6 linked regions of the Kluyveromyces lactis genome follow. The protein of the gene in region 2 purifies or fractionates together with the protein of the main gene of each other region. This does not show direct contact. Links are inferred from orthologs where the notes say so. Each region holds a gene or a part of one and is shown on either strand. Other genes may lie near its edges.

Evidence for each region.
Region 1: the proteins of COX1 (region 2) and COX7 purify together in Saccharomyces cerevisiae (affinity purification with mass spectrometry; 3 studies listed by BioGRID, with this or other methods). This does not show direct contact. The link is inferred for Kluyveromyces lactis from reciprocal best matches to the Saccharomyces cerevisiae genes COX1 and COX7.
Region 3: the proteins of COX1 (region 2) and COX13 purify together in Saccharomyces cerevisiae (affinity purification with mass spectrometry; 3 studies listed by BioGRID, with this or other methods). This does not show direct contact. The link is inferred for Kluyveromyces lactis from reciprocal best matches to the Saccharomyces cerevisiae genes COX1 and COX13.
Region 4: the proteins of COX1 (region 2) and RCF1 purify together in Saccharomyces cerevisiae (affinity purification with western blotting; 6 studies listed by BioGRID, with this or other methods). This does not show direct contact. The link is inferred for Kluyveromyces lactis from reciprocal best matches to the Saccharomyces cerevisiae genes COX1 and RCF1.
Region 5: the proteins of COX1 (region 2) and RCF2 purify together in Saccharomyces cerevisiae (affinity purification with western blotting; 4 studies listed by BioGRID, with this or other methods). This does not show direct contact. The link is inferred for Kluyveromyces lactis from reciprocal best matches to the Saccharomyces cerevisiae genes COX1 and RCF2.
Region 6: the proteins of COX1 (region 2) and COR1 purify together in Saccharomyces cerevisiae (affinity purification with western blotting; 6 studies listed by BioGRID, with this or other methods). This does not show direct contact. The link is inferred for Kluyveromyces lactis from reciprocal best matches to the Saccharomyces cerevisiae genes COX1 and COR1.

What each region holds. Positions count from the first base shown.
Region 1 is NC_006038.1:767,930-769,940, reverse strand, and holds COX7 (cytochrome c oxidase subunit VII), read right to left. Parts: upstream 690-2,011; coding exon 501-689; downstream 1-500. Other genes in the region: ubiquitin-protein ligase PSH1, read right to left, coding at 1,042-2,011. UniProt on the Saccharomyces cerevisiae protein: Component of the cytochrome c oxidase, the last enzyme in the mitochondrial electron transport chain which drives oxidative phosphorylation.
Region 2 is NC_006077.1:30,934-34,958, forward strand, and holds the start of COX1 (cytochrome c oxidase subunit 1), read right to left. Parts: upstream 2,801-4,025; coding exon 2,092-2,800; intron 552-2,091; coding exon 290-551; exon of another isoform or gene 289-289; intron 1-288. Other genes in the region: COX2 (cytochrome c oxidase subunit 2), read right to left, coding at 4,003-4,025. UniProt on the Saccharomyces cerevisiae protein: Component of the cytochrome c oxidase, the last enzyme in the mitochondrial electron transport chain which drives oxidative phosphorylation.
Region 3 is NC_006042.1:844,201-846,584, reverse strand, and holds COX13 (cytochrome c oxidase subunit VIa), read left to right. Parts: upstream 1-1,500; coding exon 1,501-1,884; downstream 1,885-2,384. Other genes in the region: IME4 (mRNA (N6-adenosine)-methyltransferase), read left to right, coding at 1-414. UniProt on the Saccharomyces cerevisiae protein: Component of the cytochrome c oxidase, the last enzyme in the mitochondrial electron transport chain which drives oxidative phosphorylation.
Region 4 is NC_006038.1:134,409-136,847, forward strand, and holds RCF1 (respiratory supercomplex assembly factor RCF1), read right to left. Parts: upstream 978-2,439; coding exon 501-977; downstream 1-500. Other genes in the region: GUK1 (guanylate kinase), read right to left, coding at 1,370-1,948. UniProt on the Saccharomyces cerevisiae protein: Assembly factor that plays a role in the assembly of the respiratory chain supercomplexes (SCs) composed of ubiquinol-cytochrome c oxidoreductase (cytochrome b-c1 complex, complex III, CIII) and cytochrome c oxidase (complex IV, CIV).
Region 5 is NC_006042.1:573,921-576,526, reverse strand, and holds RCF2 (Rcf2p), read left to right. Parts: upstream 1-1,440; coding exon 1,441-2,106; downstream 2,107-2,606. UniProt on the Saccharomyces cerevisiae protein: Assembly factor that plays a role in the assembly of the respiratory chain supercomplexes (SCs) composed of ubiquinol-cytochrome c oxidoreductase (cytochrome b-c1 complex, complex III, CIII) and cytochrome c oxidase (complex IV, CIV).
Region 6 is NC_006041.1:508,018-510,995, reverse strand, and holds COR1 (ubiquinol--cytochrome-c reductase subunit COR1), read right to left. Parts: upstream 1,839-2,978; coding exon 501-1,838; downstream 1-500. UniProt on the Saccharomyces cerevisiae protein: Component of the ubiquinol-cytochrome c oxidoreductase, a multisubunit transmembrane complex that is part of the mitochondrial electron transport chain which drives oxidative phosphorylation.

The sequences.
Region 1 (2,011 bases), on a different chromosome or scaffold from region 2:
ACCATCAAATACGCCGAAAACACTCAGATCAGGGTGATATAACGTACTGTCCGGAAAGTCTTACTTAAAAATATATTATAGTATTTTATTTTTAACTTATTCTTTCTAAATAATAGTGCAACAACTTCGGAGTATTGTGACCATGAATAAAACCACGCATACTCCTTCGCTAAAGCGCCAATAATAAATTGATTAATATAAAGATTGACTGGAAGTCAGGATTCAACACTGGGTGTAGGCCATTCTTCCATTTCTTGACCTGGTCTTGGAATTAAATATATATATTTGAAACAAACAGATTTCTCAACAAGAGAAGCAAAGAACATATCTTCCTAATACTGTTGCTGTGCATTTTCGTTCATTCGTTCGCTCTTTTAACATGGTAATAACATAAGGGAAAGTGAATATGGGATATTTTTGGACGTATCTTGATAATAAAATAATTAACGAAAAAACCTCTCGGGATTTCATTCATTCATTCATACACAACGTAACAGTTCTTAGTTCTTCTTAGCCTTAATACCCATGATAGCATTTGGAATGTATAGCAATGGAGCAACAAGGGCCACAGTAAACAAACCCCAGAATGGGTACAAGTAGAAAGCCGATCTTGGATGTCTAGACCACAATGGCTTAGAAGAGTGTTGGAACAGCTTTTGTAGTTCAATAATTTTGCTTGGAGAAGGCATCGTTCAATGTTTGGGGCTATGATTAAACAAATGTATTGGCAATCGATGAACAACAAACAAAATATACAAATACTATGAATCAAATCGAAAACTGTATTCACCAAGTGTAAACTAACTATCATAACAGTTTATTTCTTCCAAAATTTTTTTTAATCTCAGTATCTGATATTCCCCTACTGGCTTTCGAGTGGTGTGAAAATTCAACTTCCCTCTAAACAGCGAAAACTCCATAGGCTGGGAAAAGATACGGGGACATTCAGGGTAACTGCGGGGTTGTTGCACGTGATGGTGGTTTACACGTGACTTTTAGTATCGTTAGAAGGTTGTACAAGGTGTATATACGCTGTTATTGTTACTCATCAGAGTCTAGGACTATGAGACGTTTCTTACGCGCGGAGTTGTTGTTGTTGTTGTTGTTGTTGTCTTGACTATGAGTGAGACGGATGGTGTGCGGTTCTAGTTCGTCGTTACTAGTACTTTCGTCAAGGGAGTCACCACTCGCGTATCCATCGTCATTATGTTCGTAGAAATCACTGTCGCGAGATTCGTTGTCATCGTCATCTGAGAGGGCAACAGATGCTCTACGGAACTTCCGTTCATCTTTCAATTCTTGTTCCTCTTCCTCTTCTTCTTCTTCTTCTTCCTCATCCACTATGAACGAATCTATCGATCCTCTATCTTCCTCTTCCTCCTCTTCTTCTTCTCCATGCATAAAGTTCCTAGGCCGTCTTGTGGGCCATGCCTGGTCCATCTCTGAACTGAGACTCTCATCTCCCTCTTCGGCTTCCAAATCGTGCACAGTACGTGCACTCTCGGCTCTATAATTGTCCAAATCTCTCTCAACCTCTTCCAGTTCTCCGTCAGAGTACTCATCCACATCAACTTCGTCGAAGTTCTGTGCACCCGCATTATAATTCCGTATCGTAGCATTGCAGTTAGGACACACGGGACCCTCAACTTCCCATTGGCAATTGCTACACCTTGCTATCCCATCGTCATCATCGTCTATGATGGCTTTGGCAGTATTCTTAAACACACTGTTGAATAGCGTTTCTTCCAACAGGTCAGACTTGTATTCAGCAACGGAGCATTCTCTTTGTGTGAGCAGTGATCGTACTTCGGAGGAATTCGATTTCTGTGGGTCCTCCGCTGCTATATCTAGCATCAGATCGACTATTTGTTGTAAGGCAACGTTCAACGATGGTTCATTGGTAATCACATTTCGACATTGCGGACACGTTAATTCTGATACGTTGGATCGATTGTTGTTCAACCAGTTATTCAAACATTCGTAACAATAGTTGTGTCCACAGCTCGTCATG
Region 2 (4,025 bases):
AATTATATATTTAATTATTATAGTATTATTATATTCTTTATTTATTAAATTTGAATATAAATTAGTACCATAAATTGTTAATTTTTTATTATAATAATTATTATTATTATTATAAGAATTATAAGAATTATTATTATAAATCTTATTTATCCCCGCGGTCATGTTACCGATAACCGGTGACTGACCGCGGGGATTATTATTATTATTATTATTATTATGATTATTATTAATATATATATATTTTATATATTTTTTGATCAACTTAATACTCTTGCTAAAGGAGTTTATTAATCATGAGAAAATTTTAATACCTGTAGGAATTGCAATAATCATTGTAGCCGATGTGAAATAAGCTCTAGTATCTGCATCTAATCCTACAATATACATATGATGTGATCATACTAAGAAACCTAATAATCCAATTGAAGCCATAGCATATACCATTGATACTTCACCGAATACTGGTTTTTTAGAATAAGTTGATACGATATGTGAAATAATACCGAATCCAGGAATAATTAAAATATAAACTTCGGGGTGACCAAAGAATCCAAATCTAAATAATATATTATCTTTTCCCCAAATATTATTTTTGATAATAGCACGGGTAGACTCTATAATATATATCTCATATATAATATATGACCTTATTATTAATAAGTGATTCCGACTGTACATTAAGCAATATTATTATATCACCCATTGGTGAAGCAGTCTGTAGCGATCAGAATATATAATTATATATATTATAACCGACGGTCTAAATCTGAGAAATTGTTGACCGTACCACCAATGTTGCATTATATAATATATATATAATACTAGAAAATAGTATATTTATCTCTTCTCCCCATATCTTCTTATCAGCTTAGCTGGGAAGAAGATATGGGGGGGGTATTAAAAAAGGTAAATCCCTTGGATGGTGTCCGAATAAGAGAATAATAAATATTTAGTCTCTTAATTTATATATATATATTAAGAGAGATATAATCTTTTTATTTTTCATATCAACATTGTTATATCTTTTCTAATTAACTTAAGTTAAACTATTTCCTTTGTTTCAATATTTTTTATTTATACTAATAAAATATGATTATTTATTAATTAATTCCCTGCGCGACTCACCCAACCCTTTATGAGGGTCGGGTGATGTCGCGCAGGGTTTAGATATTTTTTTAATATATAATTTTTGTTCTTCATTTAAAGGTTTATTTTGTTTATAATAATTTATTACATGAATAAATTTATCTAAACTATTAGATTTATCAGATAATAAAGGATATTCTTTAAAATAATTTAAAATAAAAATACAATTATTTAATCCTGAAATTCATAATTGTCAATTATCATCTTTAGAATTAGAATAAACTTTACCAATATTTTTTTCACTATTAATGTTATATAATGAATTAGTATTAGATTTATCAATAAATAAATTTAAAATATGTTCTAATACATATTTATTAACAATATGTTTTTGACTTAATGCATATAAAAATCTAGGTGTATTTTTATTATCTTTTAAAGAAATATCAAAACAACCTTCAGCATCAGTAAATCCAGATAATCAATAATCATTTAAAGTAGGTAATTTACAATAATTTTTTAAAATAATTATAGGTTCATTATTTTTTAATAATTTTTCATTTAATTTAGCTAAAAAAATTATAAATTTACCATATCTAGTAGGTAATACTAAATTACCATTAAAAATTAATGATAATAAATAAATATCTCTTCTTTTATGTACTACTCATCTATATGTTATATCTTTTTTAGATTGTAAAATTACATCTCCTATATTAAAATTATTTTTAATATAATTTAAAATTTTTATATCTTTAGAAGTTACAACAACAGAAATATCACTTCTTTTTATTAAAATAAATGAACCTTTACCTTCAAAAAATCCTACAAATCATTCTAAAAATTTTTGATCAGGAACAGAATTTATAGGTTTAAATTCTTTATATTTTAAATTAAATTCATCAAAATAAAATTTATCTTGATTAAATTCTAAATTTTTAAATGAAGATAATCATAAATTAATATTATATTTATAATCATAAATTACTATATAAAATGGCATAGAAAACAAATGTTGGTATAAAACAGGGTCACCACCACCTGCTACTTCGAAGAATGAAGTATTGAAGTTTCTATCTAATAATAACATTGTAACACCTGCTGATAATACAGGTAATGATAATAATAATAAGAATGCTGTAATGAAAATAGATCATACAAATAATGGTAATCTATGCATTGTCATACCATTTGTTCTCATATTTAATGTTGTTACAATGAAATTAATAGCACCTAATAATGATGAAATAGATGTTAAATGTAAAGCAAAAATTGCTAAATCAACACTAGGTCCTGAATGTGCTTGAATTGATGATAATGGAGGATATACAGTTCATCCAGTACCTGCACCAGATTCTACTAATGTAGAAGTTACTAAACATACTAAAGCAGGTGGTAAACATCAGAATGAAATATTATTTAATCTTGCAAAAGACATATCTGATGCTCCAATTAATAAAGGTAACATATAGTTACCAAAACCACCAATTAATGCCGGCATTACTAAGAAGAAAATTATTAAGACCGCATGCCCAACTACTAAGACATTAAATAATTGATGATTTCCGCTTAAAACTTGATTACCTGGTGCGGCTAACTCTAATCTAATGATTAAAGACATGGCAGTACCTGCCATACCACAGAAAATAGCAAAGATAAAGTATAAAACAGCAATATCTTTAGCATTTGTAGAATATAATCATCTTTCGATCATTAATTTATTTTTATAATTATTATATTATATTTAAAATATATAATATAATAAACTATTATTATTAGTTATATTTACCCGCGGCTCCCCCCCTGAAGGGGGGGGGGAGCCGCGGGATTAGTATGTAATATACATTATGTTTTTTATTATTAATTAATTAATTAGTTATATATAATTATTATTATAATTATATAATTATAGATAAATTCTTGACCCCCGCGCTCCTTCCCATCCCTTTATGGGATGGGAAGGGAGCGCGGGGGATAAATAAGTTTTATCTTACTTATATATAATTTATATATATAAAAATATATAAATTTACCAATTTACTATGCAGATCGGTAAAAATATACATTTCCCCGCGGTTTCACCCCCCCCTTAAAGGGGTGGGGAGGAACCGCGGGGGTTATATTAATTAATTTAATAGATATTATGTGAATAGTCGGAATAATTATTCTATTAATATATAATAAGCCTCTTAAAGAAAAATATTATTCTAATTATATTAATAATAAAAAATAAATAAATATATTAGGTAGGGCTTATTTCCCACCATATGGTGGGAAATAAGCCCCCCTCATTAGTATTATTTTATATAATAAATAATAATATTATAAATAAATATAATATATAATTATATTAAAATATATATATGTATATTAATCCGCGCCTCATCCTTTATAATGGATGAGGCGCGGATAATACTTTTCCCGCGGACTCCTTTAAAGGAGTCCGCGGGGGTTTATTATTAATATTATAATATATAATAAATAAGAATTACCCCGCGGCTCATCACCCTACATTCGTAGGGTGAGAGACCGCGGGGGAAAAATATTATTATAATAATTAATTATTATAATAATGGTTATCCTAAATTTATTACTCCCTACTCCCCCCCTTCAATATCTGCGCACCAATCGTGTGCGACAGGAAGGGGGGGGAGTATAGCATGAGATCAATAAATTATTTTTATACTCTTATTTATATATAATTATTATTATATTTAAAAATATAATATAATATAATATAATATAATATAATAATTCCGCGGATTCATAACATGAATCCGCGGGATATAAAATAAGTAAGAATCCCCGTCTCCTTGTGGGTCGGGAAGGTGACCGTGGGGAAACCCCTAATAATATTGTAGGGTTTGCAGGGAAAGAATATTATTATATATAATTTATTAATTATAAATTATATAATTATTGTTCATTTAATCATTCTA
Region 3 (2,384 bases), on a different chromosome or scaffold from region 2:
TCATTGCAGAATTGGGGTTACGAAGTAATAAATGAAATATCTTGGATCAAGACAAACCAATTAGGAAGAACAATTGTGACAGGTAGAACTGGCCATTGGTTGAACCACAGTAAAGAGCATTTACTCGTCGGGGTCAAAGGCAATCCGGAATGGCTAAACAGAAAAATAGACATTGACTTGATCATTAGCGCAACTAGAGAAACCAGTAGAAAGCCGGACGAATTGTATGGAATCATTGAAAGACTTGTCGGTACACATGCCCGTAAACTTGAAATTTTCGGTAGGGACCATAACATCCGTCCTGGATGGTTCACGATAGGAAATCAAGTGACAGGCTCATCTATCCATGAAGTGGATGTGAAAAGGAAATACGAAAGATTCATGGAAAAATCAAAGAATTCAAAGACAAACTAAAGATGTAATACTCTCTTTACTTCAAATGTCCTAGCTTTTATTTGTCGATACACAGTATCCATTAGGAGTCTGTATGTGTTCCTTCTTACTTTTCTTCTTTTTTTTAATTTATGTCATACGCCCTTGTAATTACAAACGTTACATTACCCACAAGTTCGTGCTACACTTAAGCAGCAATAGGCAATCTTTTGATTTCCATAACCATGGCTGATCCTACGGGCGTTCTATTAGCCAACGCGCTTGTTTTTTGAATTCAATGCAACAAGCTCTCAGCTTAATCTAGCATTCTATATATTAGGAACGGTGTTTCTGTCCACTACACCAACCCCAGCCGGCAAGTCCCTGCAGCAGCTACTAGAATGACATGCGATGGCTCAGGTTTGCTAAAAACCCAAAATCAATTACCGCCAGGCCGTGAAACAAATATTGTTACCCGGACTTGAATTCCTGAACGTCAATATTACACTGTTTGTCAATATGTATAAAGAGATGCAACAGAAACAGAAAATAAAGTAGGAAGTACTTCTGAATCTGTTGCCAGTGTGAACGGTATCGTATGAGCTACTTGTGGGTTTGTAGTCCCGGCGAGACAGCAACACCATTTAAACAAGGAATAGGAACCTTTTATGCTCAGTGTCCATTACCAGAACTTAAGTCTCTCGTGACCAGCAACCAATCATTTTCATACCGTGTAATGTGATACCGAAATTACAACATCGAAAAAGCATGATCTTTGTCTAGTTTCTCCGTCGTGCCATTTTTGGTTTTTTATATGGAGTGGGATATGGAAATATCGCGAGAGAGATTGTGTTGATGCTAGAAAATTTTGGAGGTAGGAAAAAAAAAATTGTTTAATAGTTAGGAAAGTTCAAGTTATTAAAGCTACTCTTTCCATAATAGAAAAGGTTTTATTGGTAAGTCAAAGTACTTTTTTAAAAGAGATTTTTGTGATTAGTTTTCTTACTGTTTACAATTCATTTTACATTCATTTCGAGTTTGATATCTATTTAACGTCAACTGTGTTTGGTGAATTAATTCCATAAGGATATTCTGTTTCGAAAAGCCAGACCCTAGATATAATCAAAAATGTTCAAACAAGCCATTAGAAGAGCTTCTACTCTACCAAAGTATGCTTTGGAACCAGCTTTCGGTAAGCCAGATTTGGCTGCTGCCCAAGCTTACAAGGACTACATGAAGCACAGTACTGAGCACGCTAAGCAAACCTCTAACTTGTGGGTTAAGATCTCCATATTTGTTGCTGCTCCAGCTATTGCTCTGACCGCTGTCAACACCTACTTCGTTGAAGCTGAACACGCTGAGCACCGTGAACATTTGAAGCACGTTCCAGATGAAGAATGGCCAAGAGACTACGAATTCCAAAACTTAAGACAAAAGCCTTTCTTCTGGGGTGACGGTGACAAGACTTTGTTCTGGAACCCAGTCATTAACAGACACGTCTCTCACGATTAAACACAGTTCGATAAATGATCTCAACTTGTTGGGCTTTGGCCATTCATAATGAAATATCAAGATAGCCCCTGCCTGTGGGTTTTTTTATCTTTTAAAACACCTTTTATCAAATATCCTCAAATTATCTTCAAAAGAATTCAAACATCCGTTTAATCTGGCATTATACTTCAAAATACAACAAACATATGGATAAACTTTATAGTGGAGTTTCCACCATACAAATAATTATTATTTAACTCAAGAAGAATAAACACACTTTTTATCTTTATTGTAAATTCAGTCCTAGAAAAATAGAATAAAACACGTCACACTGTGTCAATGATCATAAGTAGATATAAGTTTCTTCATTATCAATATCTATTGTACTGAATCTGTGACAAGCAGTACATCAACTTCGATATGCTCAGCGTTATGGCAAACGTCTTTAGTAACTCAATACTTACTTTTTTTTCACGAATGATGAATACAAACTGACTTTACGTTCCAAAAACTTTAACTTT
Region 4 (2,439 bases), on a different chromosome or scaffold from region 2:
TTATCAGTGACACTTTCTACCTTTGTTCAGTGTCGTGCTACGAGTAGGATAAGAGCTCTGAATCCTTGCTTTAAAGTGACACCCTTGCTCTGTTAATTCTTTCATTGTTTCGATTTTGATGTTCTTTTTCTTGATTTTTCAATAGTAAATATGTGTGCTTCATGGAAATCCTAGGAAACCTAGTTCTACATATGAGTTCGAGGAAAACGAGAAACCTTGGATAGGAAGATCAGTGAATAGACATTGGTGGGTACCCCTGGATGCCTCATTGTAGCAATATGTTCATTAAAAAAACTATATACATATACAGAGAATTGTTGGGAGAGGAAAAGAAGCGTTTGTTTCACTTCATAAAACATATTGATGAGTAGGTTTAATTTCGTTTGCTATTCAGCATAGTAAAATGACGATGCCCTCAAAGATGCTTCAGGGCTCTTGTTCGTCAGTGAATTTGTTCTTTGATTGGAAAATTCAGATAGTCATGTAAAGAGATAATAAGCCTATTTCTTTAATCTTTCCTCAAGGTCTTTCAATTCTTGTTGCAGTTTGGAGGTCTCTTGTTCCATTTCTTTAGCTTTTTGTCTGGCAAGTTCAGCTTTTTGTCTCCTCAACTTAGTCTCTTCATCTCTTCTCTCCAACTCTTGGATCCATAACTGCTCTCTCATCTTGGCCTTCTTCCTTAGTTGTTCCTCATGAGATTCTCTTTCGTTTTTATTTGTACCGTAGATATAAGAACCTGCTACAAGGGCGATAAGTGTAAACCCTTGAAGGGCTACACGCCAACGGAACCAGATCTGAGCTTTCCGCTTGTTACCGTTCTTCACATTAAGCACAGCCAACAAAACTGCACCAGTGGTAGCTAGAGTCCCAAGAGGAACTAATGGCTGTTGCTTACAATGGTAAATCATTTTATCCAGAAATGGCATCTCATCCAAATCATCTGCATCGGAGTCGAAACTTGATGGAAGGTACGACATGATTGTTTTCTTTTGCTGTTGTTGGGTGTATATCTCTGTAAGTACGAGCACGGTCTTCTCTTGATTTCGGCCTGTTAGTTAGTTGTATCGAAAACTATAGACGCCTTGATCAACTCCAGATAGTTTGCTGCCTTGCTTTATTTAATGAATCTCTTTATCGGTTGGAAACTTTATTTCTACTATTCCTTTATTTCGATATTTGCTCATTACTTGTGTGGGAAATTTGTACAATAGGGTAATGGCAAAGTAAACAGGTGTCAGTTAACACGACACCAATGACAGGGCACTGACCAGTACTCGTTCCCTCTTGATGGTAACTAATAATCTTAAATATACATAAGGGTACGGTATGCATATATGTAGTATATTATATTTCAGAAATTTCTGAGTTCTCAATCATTTCCACTCTTGTTCTCTTCCTCGAAGATGAATTGTTTCAATTTCTCGTATGCGGCATCCAAATCGTCGTTGACAACGGTCAAGTCATGTGCGCCAGTCTCAGCATATTCCAATTCGGCAATGGCTGCATTTAGTCTTTTCTCAAGAGATTCTGGCGTCTCGGTGCCTCTGCCAGTCAACCTTTCCTTCAGCACTTCAACAGAAGGTGGAGCCACGAAAAGGAACCTAGCGTTCAAATCGGTCTGTTTCACAGATTTCACACCTTGCATGTCAATGTCCAAGATACACGTCTTGCCGCTGTTTGTCACCTCCTTCACAGACTCGATAGTCGTTCCGTAGTAGTTACCAGAGAACTGTGCCCATTCGATGAACTTCTTGTTATCTATCATCGATTTGAACTCGTCCACTGTAACGAAATTGTAGTCCTTACCGTTCACTTCACCATTTCTTGGCTGTCTAGTAGTAGACGATACAGAGAACCCGAAACTCGTTGGGTACTCCGCGAACAACTTCTTCAAAAGAGTGGACTTACCGGTACCACTTGGACCAGAAATGACTATAGGACGACTCATTCTTCCAATAAACATGCAAAAGGGAAGCGTTGAAGATGCCAGCTGAGCGCCTAATTCAAAAATAAAATATACCAGAAACGAAAAGAGTAAACGCAAACGTAAGAGTGGCACCAACGAACTGCTTTATTGAAAATGGTGGTTTTTTAATGATCTATGTCTTGGATCCACACATGTCACATTGAAATAATTTTTCAGTTCTAACTTGGCGATGCCCATCGCGTCGTTAAATCTAGAAACAGAAAATGAAAATGAAATTGGAACTCGTATGGAAACTGGAATGTGGACTGAAATGCCGATGAGGAAGCGATATATGGCTCCAATGAGCCAGTAGCTAGTAACCACTAGTTCCAGTGTGTTTTTGGATACAGTACCGGTAGAAGAAGGTATTGTGTGTCGCGATATTCTCTGATATAACCTGTGCCAAGGCTGGTCAACAACAATGATATCACGTGATATATGAAATTTATGCGTGGTGTGTGGGTTTATTGATA
Region 5 (2,606 bases), on a different chromosome or scaffold from region 2:
AAGAACTCGGAACCCTGTCATTGTCTAACGAATAGTGTGTCGAACCAGGGACATGATTAAAGTCGCATACTTTTTAAGTGTTCACATTATTATTTTGTGTCGCGCGTCAGATAATATCCGAAGAGTCGAAGAGTCGAACAAAACGATCCATGAAAAAAATAAAAAAAAATGACGTATCAGTGTTCGCTTATTAACTAGTTGAAAAAAATCTTCAATAGTCTAATATGCGTTCATTTTACAAGTATTTCAGTAGAGACTCAAGCTAGTATACATATCGGTTACGTCAAAACAGAGTGATGTACAAAACTCTGCTGGCCATATTCAAAGCAAAGGCTTTCCACATATTAAGCTCTTTTTCTTAAGAGTAGAAACCTGAAAAATAGTATTTCGGCGATTTCTCAAAATGGTAATCACTCTCCCTTGTATTAAAAGGTCAGGCTAATGAACGCAACACTGCACTAATTGCAATGGATATTATCCGAACGATCCGATGCCTTAGGTCCAAAACTGAAGCTTTTCGAAGATCCTGTAACTCTATTGGATGAATCTGGTAGGTTCCAGCTGTTAGGGTTAGTCGATGCATATTCTCTGCTCTTCCTTTTTTTTTAAACATGTGTGACTGACCAATCATATCACAGGAAACTTTGTGTCAAGGAAATGTGGAGCCACAACCGTGGCAAATTCCGACCGGCTTCTTCTCAGGTAACAACTACTAAAACCACTATCTCCGTATGCACGCGCAAATCCTTCTGAGTAGGACAGTTCGTTCGGCTGGTCCCACTTAGGTATTAGCTTCGCTAAAGTATGGATTGATTTTGAACATCAGTGTAATGAACATAGTCACTTTCTAATTGACGGAGTTATTTTCAGACAAAAACTTGTCTGACCTTTGGAAGAAATTTCAATCGAATGGTTCATTGATACGTTGATAGCAATGAACAGGTTACGCTGAGCCTGTTCATGGGCTGGCAACAAGAACGAGAGATATAGGGTTTGGCTAACTGCCAAAATTACGTAACATCAGTAGCAGTGCCTCATGGACAATCATAAATCCTAAATCGTATACGATATTGCAGGAAAAAGAAATAAAGGAACAAAGAATATTTATCATACGGGAAGGAAAAAAGTAAAAAAGTAAAATCGAACCAAAATTAAAGTATAATTGGAACAAAGGCAGGGAGGGAATTTAAAAGTATCGTATATAAGGAAGAGCATTCTCTCGGTTTATTCGTTTACAGAATCATTTCAAATTATATATATATATATCGTTTGACAGTTAAAATTTGTTAATGCTTATCCTCTTGGCTAAAATAAATATCGGGATATATTAGGATTTTGTTCCAGTATTAATTCGATATTTATCACCTTATTTAAACTAAGGGAATCAAAAGTTAGCTTAAGAGATAAGTAACTGAAAGACGAAAAAACCAGCACAGCAAGATGAAGATTTTAACAAGAGAAGAAATTGATGCTCATCGTCACTACACCCTGATGGGTGGTGTTAAAGGTGCAGCTGCAGGTCTGTTAATTTCTGCAGCTATGTTCAGGTTTTTACCCCATCGTTATCCTAAATTCAATCCAAAGGCTATGACATGGTCTGTCAAGACTGCTTTATTCATCACGCCTCCAACTCTTTTGGCTTCTATTGTCGCTGAAGAATCTTCTAACAGTTTTGATAAGAAAATGTATGGTGACTCTTCGTCCAGTGATATTCTTGCTGAACATAACAGATGGAAGAACCTGCCTATGAGCGAAAAATTGGTCGAAGGTTTGTCCAACAATAAGTACAAGATCATTGTTGGTGCATGGGCTGCTTCCTTGTATGGATCCTGGAAATTGGTTGATAGGGACTTATACATGACCAAAGCCCAAAAGGCTGTGCAGGCAAGAATGTATGCTCAAGGTATAACTGTGATTTTGTTACTAGCCTCAATTGGTTTATCTATGTACGAGGAAAAGCTACATCCAGATCAAAAGAAGGAGGCTAGAGACCGTCGTTGGCAAGCGGCTTTGGAGCATGCTGAGAAGGAAGAAGAGATGGCTGCAACCGCTGGTTACAGAAGTAACGAAGACAGAGTTAAGGCCAAGATTTTTAAATATGATTGAATTTTTGAAGAATTCAATCTAGCTGAGGTGAAATACGATATTGCCTTCACACTACAAGGCGTACAATTCTATTTTCACCCTCATCACATCCTTCTTGTGAATAATTTTGACCCATATACTATTAACTGTTTTTTTTTTACAGCACTGCCTTGTACGAAATGAAATGAAGCAGATCTAACGTACCAAATCTACCTTTCATGGTGAGTTATTTTGTCTCACATTATTCTATGTCATGACAAGTTAATAAAAGAAGATCTATTTTTTATCATTGATTATTGTAACAGTTTCATTGCATCGTGGCGCAACCATCCACGAGATCAAAAATGCGGGCGTGCTGCCTTACCTGTTATGGTTGTTTTTTAATGTCAGCTTATTTCAATTTTTTTTCAATAGAGACGGCTGGTACGGCTTTCATAACATTATACCACTACTTTTTTGAACCAATCAAGAACCTTCATAAATTATCAAAAATGCGGACCAAAATTGCTTGTAATCTTTTC
Region 6 (2,978 bases), on a different chromosome or scaffold from region 2:
TCTTGATGGTTAAAATGTATTCAATTGCTCACCAGTAAATGACAGTATCATAAATAAGGACATTGAACTCATATTTTTGTTTCGACGAATAATGAGCGAGATTTTGATTTATTTCGATTTAGCCTAAATTTTCAAATATCATTTGGAATTAAAAAATACATTATGTTCATTAAATGTATTGATCTTGAGGAGCTGTGACAGAGCGAAAAATCGAATGCGCCAGTAAACACCCTAGACTTTAGTCCAAAACAGTAAAATATTGATATAAATCGATCGTGACAAATTTCTTTTTTTGGGGGAATATACACACATGAAATTAAACTGTAACTTATTACTCATCGAGTGATATGGTTATAACAACTCAAAAGTAAATGTTACAGGGAGTAATTCTACTCAGTCGAGTAGAAAAGAGAGAATTGTTTTTAGAATGACCGTCGTGAAATGAGAATATAATATAAAAAGAATTGTTAAAATATCTTAAGACTCGGCTTTTAGTTTGATTACCATCTCATCATACTCATGTCGTTTCTCATTCTGACGTAGTCCAACAAGTCTTCAATCTTACCAGTACCGGCAACAGCGATATCTTGATCCCATAATCTTTCGGAAGCCCAAGCCTTAATATCCTTGGAGGTAATTTTGTCAATCTTAGTGAAGACTTCAGCCAAGGCTGGCTTAGCACCCAAAACCAAGGTTTGAGCACCCAACAAGTTAGCAGCAGCAGCGTTGGTAGAAACTTGAGAAGCCAACTTCAACTTTAACAAAGACTTAGCACGAGCGACTTCAGTTTCGGTGACAGAGATGGACAATCTGTTCCATTGCTTCAAAGTGAAATGGACAGTTTCATCGATGTTGTGTGGGTCGGTGATGGTGGTTCTGAAACCCCACAAACCGGAGTCCTTATAAGAGACAGAGAAGTGTTCGAAAGAGTCACACAAGTGGTATTCGTTAACTTCGTCGATCAACTTAACACCTTGTAGGTTGGAAGCTGGTTCAGCAGCAACGAAAGTACCGAAGACTTCAGCAGCGACTTGAGCAACATAGTATTGTGGAGAATTGATAGGTTCACCTTCAGCAGCGATAGATACCCAAGCCTTTGGTAGAGTATCATCTCTTAGTCTGACTTCAGAACCCAAGAAAGTGGACTTCTTCTTTGGCACTGGTTTGTCACCAGATAGCAAAGAAAGCTTAGTTTCAACAGCCTTGACCAATTCATCGTGGTTAACGTTACCGGTACCAACAATAACAGAGTTGTTTGCCTTGAATTGGTTTTGAACGAAGTTGGACAAGTCGATGTTTTCCAAACCTTCTAGAGTTTCGACAGTACCTCTGACTGGCAAAGACAATGGAGTGTTTTGGAAAGCAGTGGCGTGCAAGTGTTCGAAAACACGTTGTTCGTGTTCAGTTTCTTCGAACTTGGCAACAGTGTCTACAGTAGCTCTCTTGGAACTTTCGAAGACGGAGTCCTCAATTGGAGCGAAAAGCTTGGATTGCAAGAATTCTAGAGCCTTAGCATATTGACCTGGTTGAGAGTTAACAATGTAAGATTGGTGGTCTCTGCCAACCTTGGTTTCTAAGGAGAATCCCAATTTTTGAGCATCCTTGATAGAAGAGTTGACAAAGGAGTTAGCCAACAAGTTGGAAACACCGTTGTTGTATGGGTTTTCGGCAGTAGTACCGGAACCGAACACCAAACCGACCGCAGCAGTGGCAGAGTTGCTGTTTGGTTCAGTAGCAACAACAACACCGTTAGATAGTTCGGTGACGATGGCTTTTGGGGTAATTTGAGTGGCAATGGTTCTCTTCAAGATTGAAGATCTAGTAGCGGTTCTCAACATCTTTCTTATGGCAAATAATTGGTTATAATCCGTTTAATCAATATAGTGTGTTGAATTTGTACGTGCAAAATAAATAGAATACGGGATCAAAAACAAGTCAATGAGCTCCCAAATGTAATACCTTCGAAGTTATAATTCTCGTTTACTTTTTTCCTTGGAAACCTTTCTGTTGGTATACTATCGATTCAAAAAACAGTATAGTGGTATTTCACTGAAAAAAATATAAAGCAAAGTTTGGATAGTTTTTAGCCTAACTGAATTCTCAATTTCCTTAAAATTGTGCACACTTGACTGAAGCAATATACAAGAGTAGAAAACTATAAACAGGTCTAAATAAAGTTAGTGTACTTTCATTAAACAAATATCAATGATTTATCTAACTACTTTTAATTTTTTTTTAATTTTGGAAGGTTACACTATATGAAAAAAGTGAAAAATGTTGATACTGAGAGCGCTGTCTAGTTTTTCGATATTTCCATAATTTTTTTTTTTTACCTCTTCTTCTTTGTCTTCTCTGTAGCATAGAGATTTTCTTTCATTGGACAACGACCTGTCCACATAATTAATAGGGGACCCCCTTTGAACAATTATTAAAATCGTTTCTGGCCGAGAAACTGGTCCGAAAAACAAAAATTTACATAGTAGCGAGTACTTTTCGGGACGAGAATTTAGCCCCAAAACTGCTAATTCCATCTGCTCGAACATTTCCAATCAAATCGACATTTTTGGGATTGCATATCCCTCTTTCTCGCTCATCTCGCAGTTACGGAAGTATCGGTACCAGCATTTCTTTTCCCATAATAAACAGTGGAAATGCTCGATTTCCTATGGTAAGCGGTAAACTTTGAATGAAAAATGAACCGTGAAATACGATGCCCGAACTGGATTTCCATTGGTTCGTCAAAGATGATCAAATACCGAGATTGAAATTCGACTCACGTGAATAAAATTACACTTACCCGCACAATAGAAAGATTCGGGTAAGTACCAAAGTCCAAATGAGTACTTTTTTTTTTTTTGATTACTTGCTTGCTTGCTGGTGGTTTGTGCGTACAGTGTAAGTGTTCGATTCTCGCCTTGAAAACACCGCAACGAATATCCATTCGGATTTACTCTTCGGAAATAAAATCATCATTTCAT